Caenorhabditis elegans: one gene and its partner. The protein of the gene in region 2 purifies or fractionates together with the protein of the main gene of each other region. This does not show direct contact. Each region holds a gene or a part of one and is shown on either strand. Other genes may lie near its edges. The genes, in order: kap-1 and kin-2.

Region 1 (7,139 bases), on a different chromosome or scaffold from region 2:
TGCTAATGAGGTTCCCAGCCACGATGCAACTAGATTCCACTTCAAATTAAACGTGTCAAGTATTAAGAAACCATCGGTGCATGAGAATGTCTACTTTCTGGCGCGAAAATGGCGGCAGGAGAGATTCTTCGGATATCTAGAGTAATCTAATTGTAAGAACATGCGGCGATGAGAATTTAGGTACCTTCGCTACGAGATATTCCCGCGCCAAAACGGTAGGCATTCTCATGATCTCATGGTCTCTTAATAATTTCTCTTATTTTCTTCTGTGGCATTTTTGAGTCCTAGACTCTTTCAAGTACTATATGTGTCCCCATTCACTCCACCTTTAAGATTCACAAGATTGAAAGTTTCACAACTTACCGAAATTATTGCAGTTGTAACATTTGAAGAATTGTTCATTTTTGAATAAAATGAAGCAGTCACTTCGAGGAATGAAACACTAAATGTGAAACACTACATGGCCAGAGAAAATTTGACCTTTCAAAAGATAAATATTTATACGTGAATTTTGTTTTAATTTTTTGCATATAAATCAAAACATTCATTTATTAAGTAAAAATATATAATTTGTAGGTTAAAAAAACAACAAACAAAAGTTAAAAAAGGGGCTCATTCATATCAAATCCATCATCATAGTGATCAAATTTGAGATCAGCTCCAAAATCTTCATCATCGTAATCTACGAATTCGCTGTCGTCTCGCTGGAAAAACGATTTTTAACCGGTGACTTTAGAGCCTATATTAATGTAATGTAACTCAAGCTGCATTACTGCTATCCTGTTTCTACCGTAACACTCACCGTAAACTACTAAATAGATTCATTTAAAGTAATGATGTTTTTGATACATATTTTTAACGGGATAGTCAGAGTGTCTTCGTTTTTGAAAGTATTTTTATACAGAAATAAAACTAGGAAATGCTAGTGACGTTAAATTTCCAAAACCTTGTATAGTATATTTGTATAGTGACCAGTATCATAATATTATTTGTACCAATCAACGAATAAATTGTTAAAATAACTACGATCATACCTCAACCATCTCCAACCATTGTGCATTGTGCCATTTGAATCTCTCTCCAGCTATCCGTTTTGCCCATTCTTTTGAATGTTCACCCATTATCAAAAGGGCATTATCGCAAACTTCTCGAACCACTGCGTTTGCATCGTGCATCAAATCGATCATATGGGCTCCGAGAGCTGAATCTTGAGTCATCAGGCGAGCAGATAGTTCCTTTGAAAAATTTATATGAGAGTTGAAAAAACTCTAAAACGTTATACCTTGTGCTTTAAAAATTGCAAGAAAACGTAGAGAAGTTGCACAACAAACTCATCATCAATTTGGCATGCTGAAAAAAAGATTGCGATATTTTTCAGTAATTTATTTGTATTCTCGATACACCCAAAAAAGATCAAAATGACACCAGTAAAACACTTCAAAAACGTTAGATTTTAAAAAAGATTTAGCTGAAGATTTGTTAATTTGCCAATTACTTCCAAAAATATGTACTTTTTGAGTAATTTTGAACATTTTTACATGTTCGATTTCCTAGAATGTTCAAATACAATTGAAACACAACTAGTTTCAATAATTTCCATTTTGTAATTTACCAACTGGCAAAGCTCCACCTTTAAATCTGATTGTGAGGAAAAATGAACTTTTATGTTTTCAAAAGTTACTGGGGTTTTATTATGAAACAAACTCTTAAAAAATAACTTAAATTTATGAACGTACATTGTAATAACTGCACAAATGTATCAATCAAAGGAGCCAATAACCTAGCTGCATCCAATTGCCTAGCCATTGTTCCACAAGCAATTACAATTTGTAGTTGGAGAGGTTTTATGTCTCGAAGTACTGTCACTTCTTCGGATTCATCAATTCCTTCTTGAAGTTGAGTTTTCATCCAAGGAACAAGATTTTCAGATTGAATTATTCTATAATTTAAGTTTTTGATTGGAATTCCGAACTCAAAAAGCTCACTTTGCCCACGGAGCAACTTTGAGCTCAGCAACTGTACCCATGCATTCTAAACCAAATGAAGATTTTGACTCTGAGTTGTCTGCTCCTTCATTTTTTGCAATCCCGATAAGAGTTTCAATCCACTTCTGAAAATTCTAAATTTAAATAACAACGTTCATTTTTTTTCGTTATCTATTTTCACCGTTCAATAATAATTCAGTTCTCAACTTACCAAAAACATATTCTGCGTCGCACCTTCGTGACTTGAAATCGCTCGAACAACCTTTATGAGCATTAGATCTCTCGAGTTGATAGACATTTCCATAAGAAGATCTAATCCTTGACCACGTTGTCCACATACCAACTGAGCATTTCGTTTTTCGAGGCAAATATTCAACAGGACTGCTTTTGTCACTTCACTTCCTGTTCCACTTAGCACATCTTTCATTAGCTGGAAAAATGTTTTTTTATGAATCATATCCTCGTAGCAAACGTTGGAAAAATCGGTGACTATTTGCTATGTGGCGTTATATTTAGGTTTAACAAAACATAGACCCGAGGTAAGTAGATTTTGTCTGAATTGCTATTTCAATAATGTTCAAACAATTTCAAAAAAAACAATTGATTCACAAATAAAGTAGCTCAAACGACAACCACTATTCGAATGCAAACTTGAAAATAATATCAAAAAATTTGAAAAGTTTTAGTATAGGATTGGTTTTTAACAATTTTCCACTTGCGTTTTTCCATCTTTAATGTATAGTAACTTTTCGACTATCTCCTTTGATTGACCCAACTCACCAATTTAATAGCATCGGTGTATGCTAACATTGCTTTTGCATCATCATTACAACTTAATAAATACATCATATTCAATGCCTTCGTGTCACTGTCCAATAGAGATGCCATATGTGGTACAAGACCTCCATTCACCATTTTTGGTAGATTTTTGGAGTCAAATGAAAAATTGAAAAGAAGCATTATAACTGCTTTTCGCAGTTCTGGATCTTGAATTGGAAATAGTTTCAAAAGTTTTTCGATTGTTCCATTTTGTTCCATTACAATCTTATTTTCATCAAAAATACTTAATTTAAGAAGAAACTTGATAGTTGCAGTTGTTAGTGAACTTGTAGATTCTGATGACATTTGGAGGCATCTAGAAATGTAAAATGAGTGAATGTGGTGTTAATTATTAAAGGTGGAGAGATTAAAAAAAACTGTGAAAAGTGTTACTATGATATTTCAGCATTTTACAATTTCCTCACTAACTGCGCCTTTAAACTCACTTGACAAGAAGTGCCACCAAATTTCTTCGGACCATTTTCAATTCGACACTGATATCCGTGGCTAGATTGGTAAGAAAAGTGACACATGCTGGAATTGAACCATTTTCAATGTAATATGTACAATTGCAACAAACCTGCCAATAGCATCGCCTGTTTTCGAATGGCTGTTTTTAGTTTTCTCAATGTCTCTTGATCCGTCTTTTTCATCTCAGCAATCCAAAAATCGTACCGTTTTGTTTCATGTTCCATTGCATTTACACATAAAGTACCAATCTGCAAATCTAGCTTTTAAACGAAATTCAGGTGAAGTGAAGGCGTTTAGAAACCATGCATGCCTTGTGATGAAGCAGAATTCCGTGTAAACATGAAAACTTGGAAATATTCACAAAAAGGTTCATAATATTGGTTCCAACTTCAAAGTGTTTCTTCCAGTCTTCTCGGAATACTCTTGCCAGTGCCATCATAAGAGTTTCTGAAATGTAGTGTTATTTGAACGTTAACTTTAATACATAGATTACGTCCGAAAATTATGGTCATCGGGTAAGCTTTTCTAGAATTACCTACCATTGTTCACAAGCTGTGTGAGGTTTTGAGGATTTTTTGAAAGTTCATAAAGTGCCACGGCTCCTTTGTTTTTCTCAACAGAAGTTTCACCGTAGAAGCATTCTATGTACTCCTGAAAGATACATTTTTAATTTCAAAAGTAGTTTTTCAAGTTCTATTTGGTTTTAGGCTCTCACCATAATAAGAAATCTGTTTTTATATAAATGTTGAATGATGTATAGAAAACCATTCAAAGATTATTTTAAACTAATCAGATTATTTTCGAAATAAATTTTTAGATTCTAAAATATTGGTACTACCGGATACAAAAGCACTCAAGCGAGCTTGGTTTTGTTTCAGCTGCTCCATTTTAGAACATGTAACAATTAATGTTTTCAATTTTGATATAGCCTATGCGTATTTGTAAAATAAAACCAAATGCTCCTCAACTTTACGTAATCTACAAAATGTTTTCTTATAAAACGTACATCTATTTTCCCTAATTCTGCACTAATTGTAGGACTATGAATAGGCCTTCGATCAAATGAAACGGCCGAAGAACTTCTTGATCTCGCACTTATTCGTTGATTTCCTCTTTTTTGAATGTAGAACAAAACCTGCTCCAATTGACTTCGTGACGTGGCAGGAATGAAAAGACATTTTTGAAGAATAACATTTGATAAAGCACGAATATCTACATCCAGACTCATTTCTTTCAAGTGGATTCTGTAATACAATTTGGGTAATTTTGTAGCCGTACAATGTTAGATGCAGGTGACATTTTGAGGTTCTCATATATATATATATTCGATTATTATTTTTTATCAGTTATTTTCCAATATTCTAAAAATTAAAGAGGCATGGATTCATGGGGAATGGGTCTCACAGCGAGCAAAATGCTCAAGTCAACACTTTTTGCTATTTTCGGTCGTGCGTTTTCTGTTATTCGGGGTTTTGTGAGCAATTATTAAATAACTTTTCTGTATCTTGATTGTGGTTTTTGCAACAGAAAAAATTTAAAGTGTTACCATAAACATTTTTCGCGGTGAGACCCATCCGAAAGAATACGTGCACCTTCGTGGGCATACGGTCTTAAAAATATTTTATTTTATTTTTCTTGTTAAGCAGATTTGCATTCCAGTTTAATTTTATATTTTATATCAGATTCTTACATTTTTTGATGGCCAAGAGACTCAACGTTCGCTGAAGAAGCTCGCTTTTTTATTGAAATTCCTGCTGAAGAACCTGAATCAAACTTCCAAATAATCTTCGTAACACATTCAATTGAAAATAAAAATATAAAACTTACTAGGAGATTGTTCAAATCGTACAATAATTGCCTGATCTGACGGGTGTGCATCTATTGAAACTTGATTCATTGAGCTAAACACGGAAAATCAATCGAAAAAACTCAAAAAATATTTCTCTTCATTCTGATTACCTATTATAGCTTACTGAAGAGCCGGGGCGGAGCATTTCTGAATAACTGACAAACGACAGAAATCGATGAGACGGCTCGAGGAGCACTAGTCGTGGGGGATGTCTGTTCGTCTCGCACGCTCTCCTTGGAGACGTTGCACTCGTTGTAATAAGAAATATTGCTTACACGCTTGTACCAGTGTTCTATTTTATTTGTTCGGAAAACTTTAATGAATTAAATCGACAAATGGGGGTTTTAACAATATAAAATTGAGAAACGAAGAGTACGGGATGGACGAATGAATGGAGGAAGGAAAGGAGTGGAGATTGATTGACATCATAAACATTTGTTTTAAATATTTAGACCATTTAGAGAAGTAAAATTTGATACTGTTTTAAGAGATAAGTTTAGCAAAAAAAATTAAAATTTGGAATTTAAAAACGAATAAAATGGGGATTGTTTTGATGAAAAATTGAGCCAGCAATTGGTGAGGAGTCATTAGCTCTAAATGGTCCACAGAGATAAAGAGGAAGGGATGTTGACAACGAAAGCTTGAATTGAGAGGAGATTCGCCGGGACCACAGCATCTTCTCGTGCCAGCCTAGATCATAATGAATCGAATTTAAACTTTTTCGAAACTATGTTTAAAATCAAAATTAATGTACACAACTTTTTGAAGCCGATTTACGAGAGATGGCCGAGGCCTCTTGGGGCGTGAACAACAAAGAAAAGGTTAGGTATTTACAGATGATAGATAAATCGACTGATGATTACTTCTTGGCACCCTTCTTTGGTTGCGCAGCCGGTGCGTTTCGTGGTGGGGTGACTGGTCTATTTGAACCAACTCCTCCAGCACCATATGGATATTTCTTCTTGTCTGCTGGTTTCAAGATCTGAAAAAAATATTCCGAATTGTTTTATTTTAATGTTTGATAGGTAGTTTTAGCGTTTAATAAATCACCTCAGACAAATGCCTCAATTTCACCCCGCTTAGCGGCAATTTCTTCGAAGAACTCGAATAGATAGCCAAAATAGACTCGTCTGATTTAACCATTGCATCATTGGTGAATGCATACGCATTATCAGTATTTAAAATTATATAGATGGTACCGCTATGTTTACCTGGAAAGAGCACATCAGTGTTTCATCGACAGTCATCATCGATCCCGCGTTATCAAACTCTCCACAATAATTAGGAGCGCTGAACAATGTAACCAACTGCCGCTTAGCGAAGAATTCGTAACCGTCTTCCACAACCTGAAAATTTCTCGGTTCGCAACTTTGCAGAAAATCTTAAGTAATACCTGGTGAGCTCTGCAAATCAAATCCAAATCGTGCTTGTGCAGGAATTTGGCAACAACTTCTGGTCCGAAAGTGAAAGAGACGCCTCGGTCGTTTTCTCCCCAGCCAGTGACATCCTGAAAATAAATGGTAATCATTCATTGAATTTTATGTTCACAAACGAACTTTATCAGGATCTGACCACAACAGATCGCACAACAATCCTTGATCTGGTACGTCTGTCGGCCTCATGATACGACGAATTTGCTCCATAGACTGAAGATCTGGAGAAAGTCCTCCGTGACAGCAGAAGATCTTTTCGTCGATGATGGCGGCAACTGGCAGGCAGTTAAAGCAATCGGTGAACGTCTTCCACAGTTTGATGTTGTATCGCCGCTTGCCTAAAAACATGAGATTTGAATAAATCTGTACTAAGATAATCTCAGATCAAACTCTTACACTCGTCATAGAAGCCATAAATTCTGTTGATCGAGGCACACTCGTGGTTTCCTCGGAGCAGGAAGAAATTTTCCGGGTACTTGATTTTATATGCAAGTAGGAGACAGATAGTTTCCAACGATTGTTTCCCTCGGTCCACATAATCGCCGAGGAACAAGTAGTTCGACTCTGGGGGGAATCCACCAT
Region 2 (7,901 bases):
TGTAATCCGATTAGGTCATCAGTTTGACGTATGAGTTGTAGTTTGAAACGTCTCTCTTCAGGATCTCACGAACTGGTCCCATGACACGTTCGAAGCGGTTACGATCCAGCTTGATGCACTTGAGATGGGTTTTGGCAACAACGGTGGCGGCACGTGGGCGGTCGAGAAGAAGAGCGATTTCTCCTGAAATTGTGACATTGAAATAAAGCTTTCATTCAGGCGTCGACAAGGGTCGCGACCCACGCCTACTGATTAGTGCGGTTCAAAAATCAAAACGTGTCGGGCTCTGGTGCAAACACCAGGGTTTTGATTTAACACCAAAATGCAAAGCGACGTCATTCCCTGAAACCGCGCCTGCATTTCATGAAAAGCCTACATTGATATATGAAGTGTCACAAAAATCTTGTCTAGAGTTATATTTCAATAAAAAAAATGTTTGCATTTATTGAATCACCCGCATATTGCCAAATACAATTAGTTTTTTGATCTTTCCATGTTTGTTCATTTTTTTTCCAATTTTTCTCTTTTTTTCTGATTATTGCTCACCGAAATAGTCCGACATTCCAAGATGTCCGACAACGTCGAATGGTGCGTCGTCGCTTCTCTTCTGCAACACATTGGCTTCTCCCTCGAGAATGATGAAGAATTCGTCTCCGGGTTGTCCTTGCTCGACGACATGAGTTCCTGGCTCGAAGTCGCATCTCTCAAGAGCATCAGCCACGTTAGCGCGCTCCCACTGGTCGAGATCGGCTGAAAGATGATTGATGAGTCTCGGCTTAAGTTCATTTTTCTTCTCTGGTTCTTCAATTTACTTACCCAAGATTTGAACCTTGGAGAGGAACTCGTCATACATCTTTCTCTTCTTTGTTACTGATCCCATCAAGATACGACGGTAGGTGAGACGGTCGATGGCCCACAATTTCACGTCGGTCTGGAAGAAAATATATAAAATGAATTTGAGTGGCATTTTGCCACCTTGGCAATGACGGTTGCAGCACGTGGAGTTCCATAGATCAAAGCAAGTTCTCCAAATGATCCACCCTCGTTGATGGTGAGAACGTACTCGTGATTGACGTAGACATCAACGGTCTTAAATATGAAAGTACGGATAAGCTCTTAGAGAGAAGCAACTCACTCCCTTATCAATAACATAGAAGTTATCTCCTTCTTCTCCCTGTTCGATGATGGTCTCTCCAGCAGACTTCTCAACTGGGAACATGGCATCGTACATGGTTTTTTGCTCATCCTCCTAAAAACCAAAAAATTGAATAAAAATTTAATGTTATTAGAAATTTTTTTGGGAATTTATTCACCTCCAAATGAGCAAAGAGCAAGTTCTTCCTCATGGCTGACTCAAGCGACCTTCTTGTAGCATCATCCTTTGGAATCACAACCTTCTTGTACTCGGTATCGTCCTCCTTGATTGGTTCGGCAGAGATTCCGGTTCTGCGTCCACCTGATCTCTTTGGTGGCTCCACAATGATGTCGTCATCATCAGCAGCGTCCGGATTTCCTCCTTCCTGAAATGTTAAGATTTGATAAGGAAAGTTTGAAAATAAAAGATGTGCAAAATAACAAACCATTTTGGAATTTTCCTGTTTCAGTTAGTTCAGCGACGGAAAAAATGAATGAAAAATCAAAATATAAAATGACCAGAACCAGTTCAGTCAATTACTGACCCTCTGCTATTTTTTTTTTGTTTCGACAAAACGTTAACCTTGAGGTTGGAAATTGTAAATCGGGAATCGTATTAAGTGGGCCACCAGGTAATGTAAATTATGTTACGCCGCAAACTTACTTGTTTCTGTTTAGCAACAGGGCAACCGTCTCCGCCTGTCTATTTGCGCAATAAAAACAACACAGCAGAAAGTAAATACACCCACTCGCTCACTCACCCGGTACATGTTCAACTCCATTTTTAAGGTGTGAACCACTGAATTGAAAATGGATTGGAAGAATTTTTCAATGGAAAGAAGCAAGAAGAAAAACGCAAGGAAATATGAAGTGCGGTGCACACTGAGCCAATCTATCGCCGAGCGAGCTGCCGCGCCGTCTAATGTGCTTCAAATGCGTACTCGTAGCTCTCGCAAGTCTCTTCGTCCTACAATTTTGCTAGTGCTCCATCAAGGTTCCAGCGCTTCCCCTTTTTTCATTTCATTCCACGCCGCTCATCATTCATCCGTCGTGACTGAGATTCGATCATACTAGCAGACACCTGGTTACTTTTGTTTCTGTTGTGCAAAACAATTTCTTATTTTTGAGGTCTCCCTTTATTTTTGTTTTTTTTTATTTCTAGAAGTTTGCAGAATCCGTTTAAAATTGCCTAAAAAGATCAGGTTTTGAACAGTTCAAATTTCTAACTTGATTTTTTCAAGAAATTTTATTAAATGTGATGTTTGAAAACATAGAAGCCATTCTAATCAGAGAATTAATTCGAACTACGCATGAAATCCAAAAATCCATAAGAAAAAAGTGATTATCCTCTCAAAAAACTATCACCTTAGGCTTTGGAGTCTTTGCGTTTTTTGTGGCGCCCACAGATTGCGAGTTTCGTCGGTTGCTCAATTGCTGCCCCATCACATTCCTTGGTGGTGATACTCTGACAATATTGATTAATAACTTGGTTAAAAGAATAAGAAAAAGTCTATGTAGGTGAAAAAAGAGGAATGTAACGGCAATTTTCTAAGAAGCAGATGTTTTGGAATAAAACATATCCATGGAAACCAGAGTTGTGGTGAGCAGTCAAATAAATATTTGAAAAAACAAACACTATGACTATTGTAAATGAAGGAACACGTCAGGAGGCAAATAAGGCAATTGTGTGTGCGTCGAACTTTCAACTACAACAACTATGACAAAACATTGAGTAGTATGTTGTAGTTGGAGGTAGAATGAGAAGGCTAAAAACAAGACGAAAATCAAAATCGGACCGGGTTTCCACATGAGACCTAATTGAAGGCGTGTGAATGTTTTTCTTGCTGTGGTAGCGCAAAATGAACGAAACAGAAAGAGGGAGAGGAAAGGACGGAAGAGGAAAAAGTAAGAATGTCAATATCTGAAAGAGCTTTGCCAGTTGTATTTAGTAGGTGGAGGGCACAACGACTTCATGCATTTTTGTCTCAAGCAACCGGCAATTTACTATAGCAGCCGCAACATTTAGACAGAAAATAAATAGTCTCGAATTGTTCCTCTATTCTTACTCATGTTGTTTTATGAAACAACAAAAAAAAATTCAATTTCAGTATTTCTAAGAGTAACTATTTAATTTCTGATTTGTCGCATCGAAGTTAATTTACGATGAGTGTATTGTGCTCACAGAGAGTATTATGCACACATTGAGAAATATCCAATAAATGACAAATTCCCTATCTTAAAAATCTGCCACGTTATTCTTAGAATTCATAAAAGTTTCTGTGGTACAGAAAATAAAAATCAGCTGATTTTATAGAAAATGACACAATGATAACGTTCGAGGCATTTTTTACGTGGAGAAAAACAAAGAGAATGGTATGACTAATATTTCAATTCGTTTGAAAAAAAAACCCATTTTACTAGTTTTCGAACATATTCAATAAAACCTCGTAAAAAACGAGCTATTTATTCGAATAGTTTTTCTCTCAAAAATCAATAAAGTCATTTAGCATCAGAAAAGCGTGACTCTTTTCATTCTCTCCATTTAACTTGGCATCGTTCTCTATCTCTGAGGCGGTCATAAAAACACTCGGCCGGATAGAAGCTGCCTTCGGGGCAAATTTTATTCGATTATTGAATTTGACAGACAAATATAACGAAAACGAGGCGGAGAGAAGATAGAAAATATCGGAGTATGCACTTCCTAGTTTTTCGAAAATAAAAGTTGTAAAACTTTAAAAATGAAAAAAAAATTGTGTATCAGCATTTGCCAAAAAATTTTCATAAACGAGTGTTTAAAATAAACTATTTTTCTGGGGAAGCGGTTGGAAAGAAGAGAGAACATAAAAGATCGATAAACGTCCGAACAGTATGCAAAAGAAATATGTTGAGAGACGCAGGAAATGGAAGGTACGCACACTTTATGGTCCTTTAGTGAATGGCATTGGCAAATTTAGTATGTTAAATTTCAAAACTTAGTTTTCCATTTCAAAATTAATATTTCTATTTACAATTTCAAAAAAAAATACAAACGTTCAAATTTTTCAATAGAAATTTAAACACACTTTTTTAATGACCACATTCCAAAAAACCGCCCCAATTCGATTTTGATAAGCTGTGTCTAAAACTGAAACACATGTGTACAAAAAAAGACATAAAAATTGGAGTGTGAAAAGTGGACTCGAGTGTTTTAGTTTTATTGTGTTTTTTTGAATGTTCCCAAATTGAAATTCTAGAGCTCCGAACTTTTTGTGTTGTTTTTCATCATATATATATATATATATATATAATCGTTTCGAGAACCTTTTCAGAATGTTGCAAGTAACGATGACGTCATAAAAAGTTTGTAATACCTTATATTTCCTGGATTATGACTAATGTTGTTTTTTGTTTGAAGCGTTTAAAATTTGTGACAGAAAAAAAAGCAAAATGTTTTGGAATTTTAAAAATTAGGTGTCAGAGAAAAAAAAAGGTTAAATCTAGAATTTCACATCTTCAAAGAACGTGACAATGATGTTTGGTTCGTCGTCACTGTTACTGTTTCCTCTTCCCTTTCTTTCACCTGACCTCCTAAAGATTTATGACTAGTCTTTTGACTTTTGTTATTTTTGTGAAAATACTACCTACTTCAATTATTTTCGAAACAAAAATTCCAGACACAAAATGCGAGGGTGTTGAAAAAACAACGGAGAACAAAAAGCATGGAGCATTAAGGAGCGGCAGAAGGAGAAGAAAAATGCGATCGTCCGAAGAGCAACGAAGAGCAAGAGAAATCTGCCCCGAGGCCTTCTTCATTCTTCGTCACTTTCTCTCCGCTTCACAAACCGGACCCGAAAAAAAGGGAAAAGAGCTCGGCAGCTGAGCCAATGGCTGCGGGCGCTCGATGCTCGATGGACAGCTCTGGAGGGCTCATTGGGACTCGTCTCAAAGGGCCCATTCTCTCAATTCTCTTCGTTTTCGTTACGCCTTATCCGCTCTCTTTCATCCTTTCGTTTTCCCAGCTAACTAGTGCCTCTTTTTCTTCTTCCTCTTCTTCTTTTTCTTCTCTTTCTCCAGAGGACCCCGACGGAAAAACGACATACACAAGGCTTGCTTTCTATGAAAAAAAGAAGCAACACAAGACGAAAAAAAAAACGAAGTGAAGCTTCATTTTCATTGATTCGAGCCATAAACGCGGAGGAATGACGAAAAAGACACAGGAAGATGTTTGACCTAATTTGCATTTTCCAGTTTTTTCTCAAGCTTTTTTTTGCAGTGCATCTCATTAAAAACAAGATCGAAACAAAAAATCATGACGCTTGGCTCCCACAAAACCGGATAAAATATTCAAATATTTGAAGCGAGTCAAACGAGATTTTCGATGCCTCAAAAACTTGGTACTATGAATGAGAATAAAATAACAAATTTCACTGATCTAGAACAATGATATAATTATAAAGCTATGTGAATTTCAAATTTGAAAGTCTGAAACCGAGTTTCATGGTTCAGAAAACACGAACAATTAAATAAAAATCCTGAAGAATTGTAAAACCCCCATCACAAATTGTACTCAAAACGTTATAATACGCTTATGCAACACTACGTTTTCCGATAAGAAGAACCGTTTCAAAACGCAACAATTAACTTTTTTGGCGTACCACGTCAATACTCTTTCAGTGTCAGCAAATTTGAATACTTTTTCTGGTCATAATTTCGAACTGGTTCTGTCATTCTTCTCACTTTTATGTTGAAAATATTTTTTTTTTCAATTTCTAAATTCTCTGCAACTCAACTAACCTGTGCTCGTTGTTCGTTGAGTTTTTCAAAATGATCCTTCAAGAAGAGAACCGGGTTGTCGGGTTTGTGTATGCACAGAACAACTGGAAAAATCGTATTCTTACTTTCGTGTTATTATTTTGCTAGATTTTCAAAAACTCACCAATTGCTTCTTTGACAAGCTGCTGAATGTTGTGTCGTTGCACATAGGCCTGGCATTGTGCCAACTGATCCTCTTCGTTTCCACCCGACATAAAAACAATGTCACCTGAATAATTGTTCATAATTTTCAGTCATTTCTTGTTTTAAACAAACAAAAGAGACAAAAATGCGAGAAAAATAGCAGAAAACACACGTTTGAAATGAGATGAAAACTTGGTGGGGAAGGTAACAGACTTTTGACGGGGGATGCCGCGGAAAAGAGCGAGATGAGCGGTTACCGAATGAATGCTGATACACCCGCCAGTGTACAACATTTTGGAAAATCTTGGCACACAGCCTTCCCAGTAGATCAAAGCAGAATTGAGCAGCAAAAAAAGGAAGAAAAAGTGGAGAAGAAGGAAAAAACAGAGAGGAGGAGCAAGAAAAGAAAATTGATACCCAAACTTGGTTGAGCGAGAGAACGAGAAAAGAGAGAAAAGAAAAAGAGAAAAAGAGAAAAATCAGATAATTGATTTGTTGAAATTTGAAGACAAGTTCAGTTCATCACTTTGATCACACAGATGGTCGGAAAGTAAATATGATGATTGATGGTGATAATTAGCAGAATGAAAAACGTCGTCGCGCAAGTACTGAGACCGGAAACTATAATTTAAAGATAAAGGGAATTTCCTCTTTTGATAGGAGATCAACGGTTACAATATGTCGCGGAAACGGACGAATTTGATTTGAGATTTTTTTGTTTAATTCATATAGAGTTACAAGCAGCTACAAATGTATAGAAATAATTTTGATGTATACGGTTTTGAATTGTTTGCATGTATAGACTCGAAATGTACTCAAATGAACTTCTCAAAAAATAAATAAGCTATTCCGTTCGAGGGGGCGTTTAAAATTTGGGAAACACTTTTCTGCGTTGCAAATTAACTGCATTAAAGTATCATTTGTATTGCATATTTTTATAATTTATCTCACGTTTTTTTGTTAATAAGGGTGCATTTAAAGTTGATAGGTTACCAAACATAATTGAAATTCAGTACTTATCGGCTTTTAACACACTTGAATCAACTAAATAATGTGAACCAAACAATCAATAAAAATGATAATTCCATTAAAAAATATATATATAATTTTCATTCTCTGCAACTTGGAAACTTTAGCAAAACTGGTGAATCTATCAATTGTTGGTCTTTTTTGAATTTCGAATGCTAATTCGAGCCCATTTTAAGTACAAGCAAAAAACAGCAATTATTTGTTGTTCAAACCCTATTTTTTAGAAAATGCATTTAATACCTACGAATGCTAACTTTTCTCTCGCCTCTTCCCCCTCCCTATGCGGTTTCTAGGCGGGTTTGTAAACCTTTTTGCATGCGAGAGAAACAAGTGATGATAATAAACTAAACTAAACGTTCAGAAATCAATATCACAATGTGAAAATGTGAAAATGACCTATCGATGAAATCGAGGGTGTCTTCATGTTATCGCCCAATTACAACGGGGCATTTCCCCTCGGACTCTTGCTCTACACCACCCGTGGCCTTTGGTCTTTGGCATATGACGTAAATTGAAATAGGAACAGGGAGAACTGAACAATATTTTTTATCCTATTGCATGCTGGTAATCAAGTTAGCATACCAGCCGACTCTCAGCTTATCTTTAATCCATATAGGCTAATCTGTCGGATTTTTGGTACAAAAATGTAAAAGTTTTGTTGGATAAAAAGCAACGTTTCTATATTATACGGAACGCATCAAACGGGACAAAAAACTGAGAAATCGCGAAAAAGCAAAGCAAAAAGGAGAAGGAGCCCTATGAATCATGGAAGAAGCGTGAGGAGACAGAGGCAGGGACAACGA

What was found.
Region 1: the proteins of kin-2 (region 2) and kap-1 purify together in Caenorhabditis elegans (affinity purification with western blotting, with the first as the bait; one study listed by BioGRID). This does not show direct contact.

What each region holds. Positions count from the first base shown.
Region 1 is NC_003281.10:7,337,034-7,344,172, reverse strand, and holds kap-1 (Kinesin-associated protein), read right to left. Parts: upstream 5,173-7,139; coding exon 5,103-5,172; intron 5,039-5,102; coding exon 4,966-5,038; intron 4,520-4,965; coding exon 4,282-4,519; intron 3,927-4,281; coding exon 3,815-3,926; intron 3,723-3,814; coding exon 3,577-3,722; intron 3,524-3,576; coding exon 3,385-3,523; intron 3,339-3,384; coding exon 3,251-3,338; intron 3,121-3,250; coding exon 2,766-3,120; intron 2,416-2,765; coding exon 2,197-2,415; intron 2,111-2,196; coding exon 1,986-2,110; intron 1,940-1,985; coding exon 1,737-1,939; intron 1,351-1,736; coding exon 1,283-1,350; intron 1,236-1,282; coding exon 1,035-1,235; intron 705-1,034; coding exon 600-704; downstream 1-599. Other genes in the region: F08F8.6 (uncharacterized protein), read right to left, coding at 364-402; gsp-2 (Serine/threonine-protein phosphatase PP1-beta), read right to left, coding at 5,984-6,106, 6,336-6,470, 6,518-6,631, 6,681-6,895, 6,954-7,139.
Region 2 is NC_003284.9:5,971,685-5,979,585, forward strand, and holds kin-2 (cAMP-dependent protein kinase regulatory subunit), read right to left. Parts: upstream 6,171-7,901; coding exon 6,050-6,170; intron 5,991-6,049; coding exon 5,908-5,990; intron 5,128-5,907; exon of another isoform or gene 4,989-5,127; intron 2,600-4,988; exon of another isoform or gene 2,578-2,599; coding exon of another isoform or gene 2,500-2,577; intron 2,228-2,499; exon of another isoform or gene 2,112-2,227; intron 1,985-2,111; exon of another isoform or gene 1,850-1,984; intron 1,521-1,849; coding exon 1,314-1,520; intron 1,250-1,313; coding exon 1,136-1,249; intron 1,090-1,135; coding exon 976-1,089; intron 932-975; coding exon 817-931; intron 751-816; coding exon 547-750; intron 184-546; coding exon 11-183; downstream 1-10. UniProt on the Caenorhabditis elegans protein: Controls the rhythmic contraction of enteric muscles probably by regulating G-protein coupled receptor aex-2-mediated calcium influx in GABAergic DVB neurons.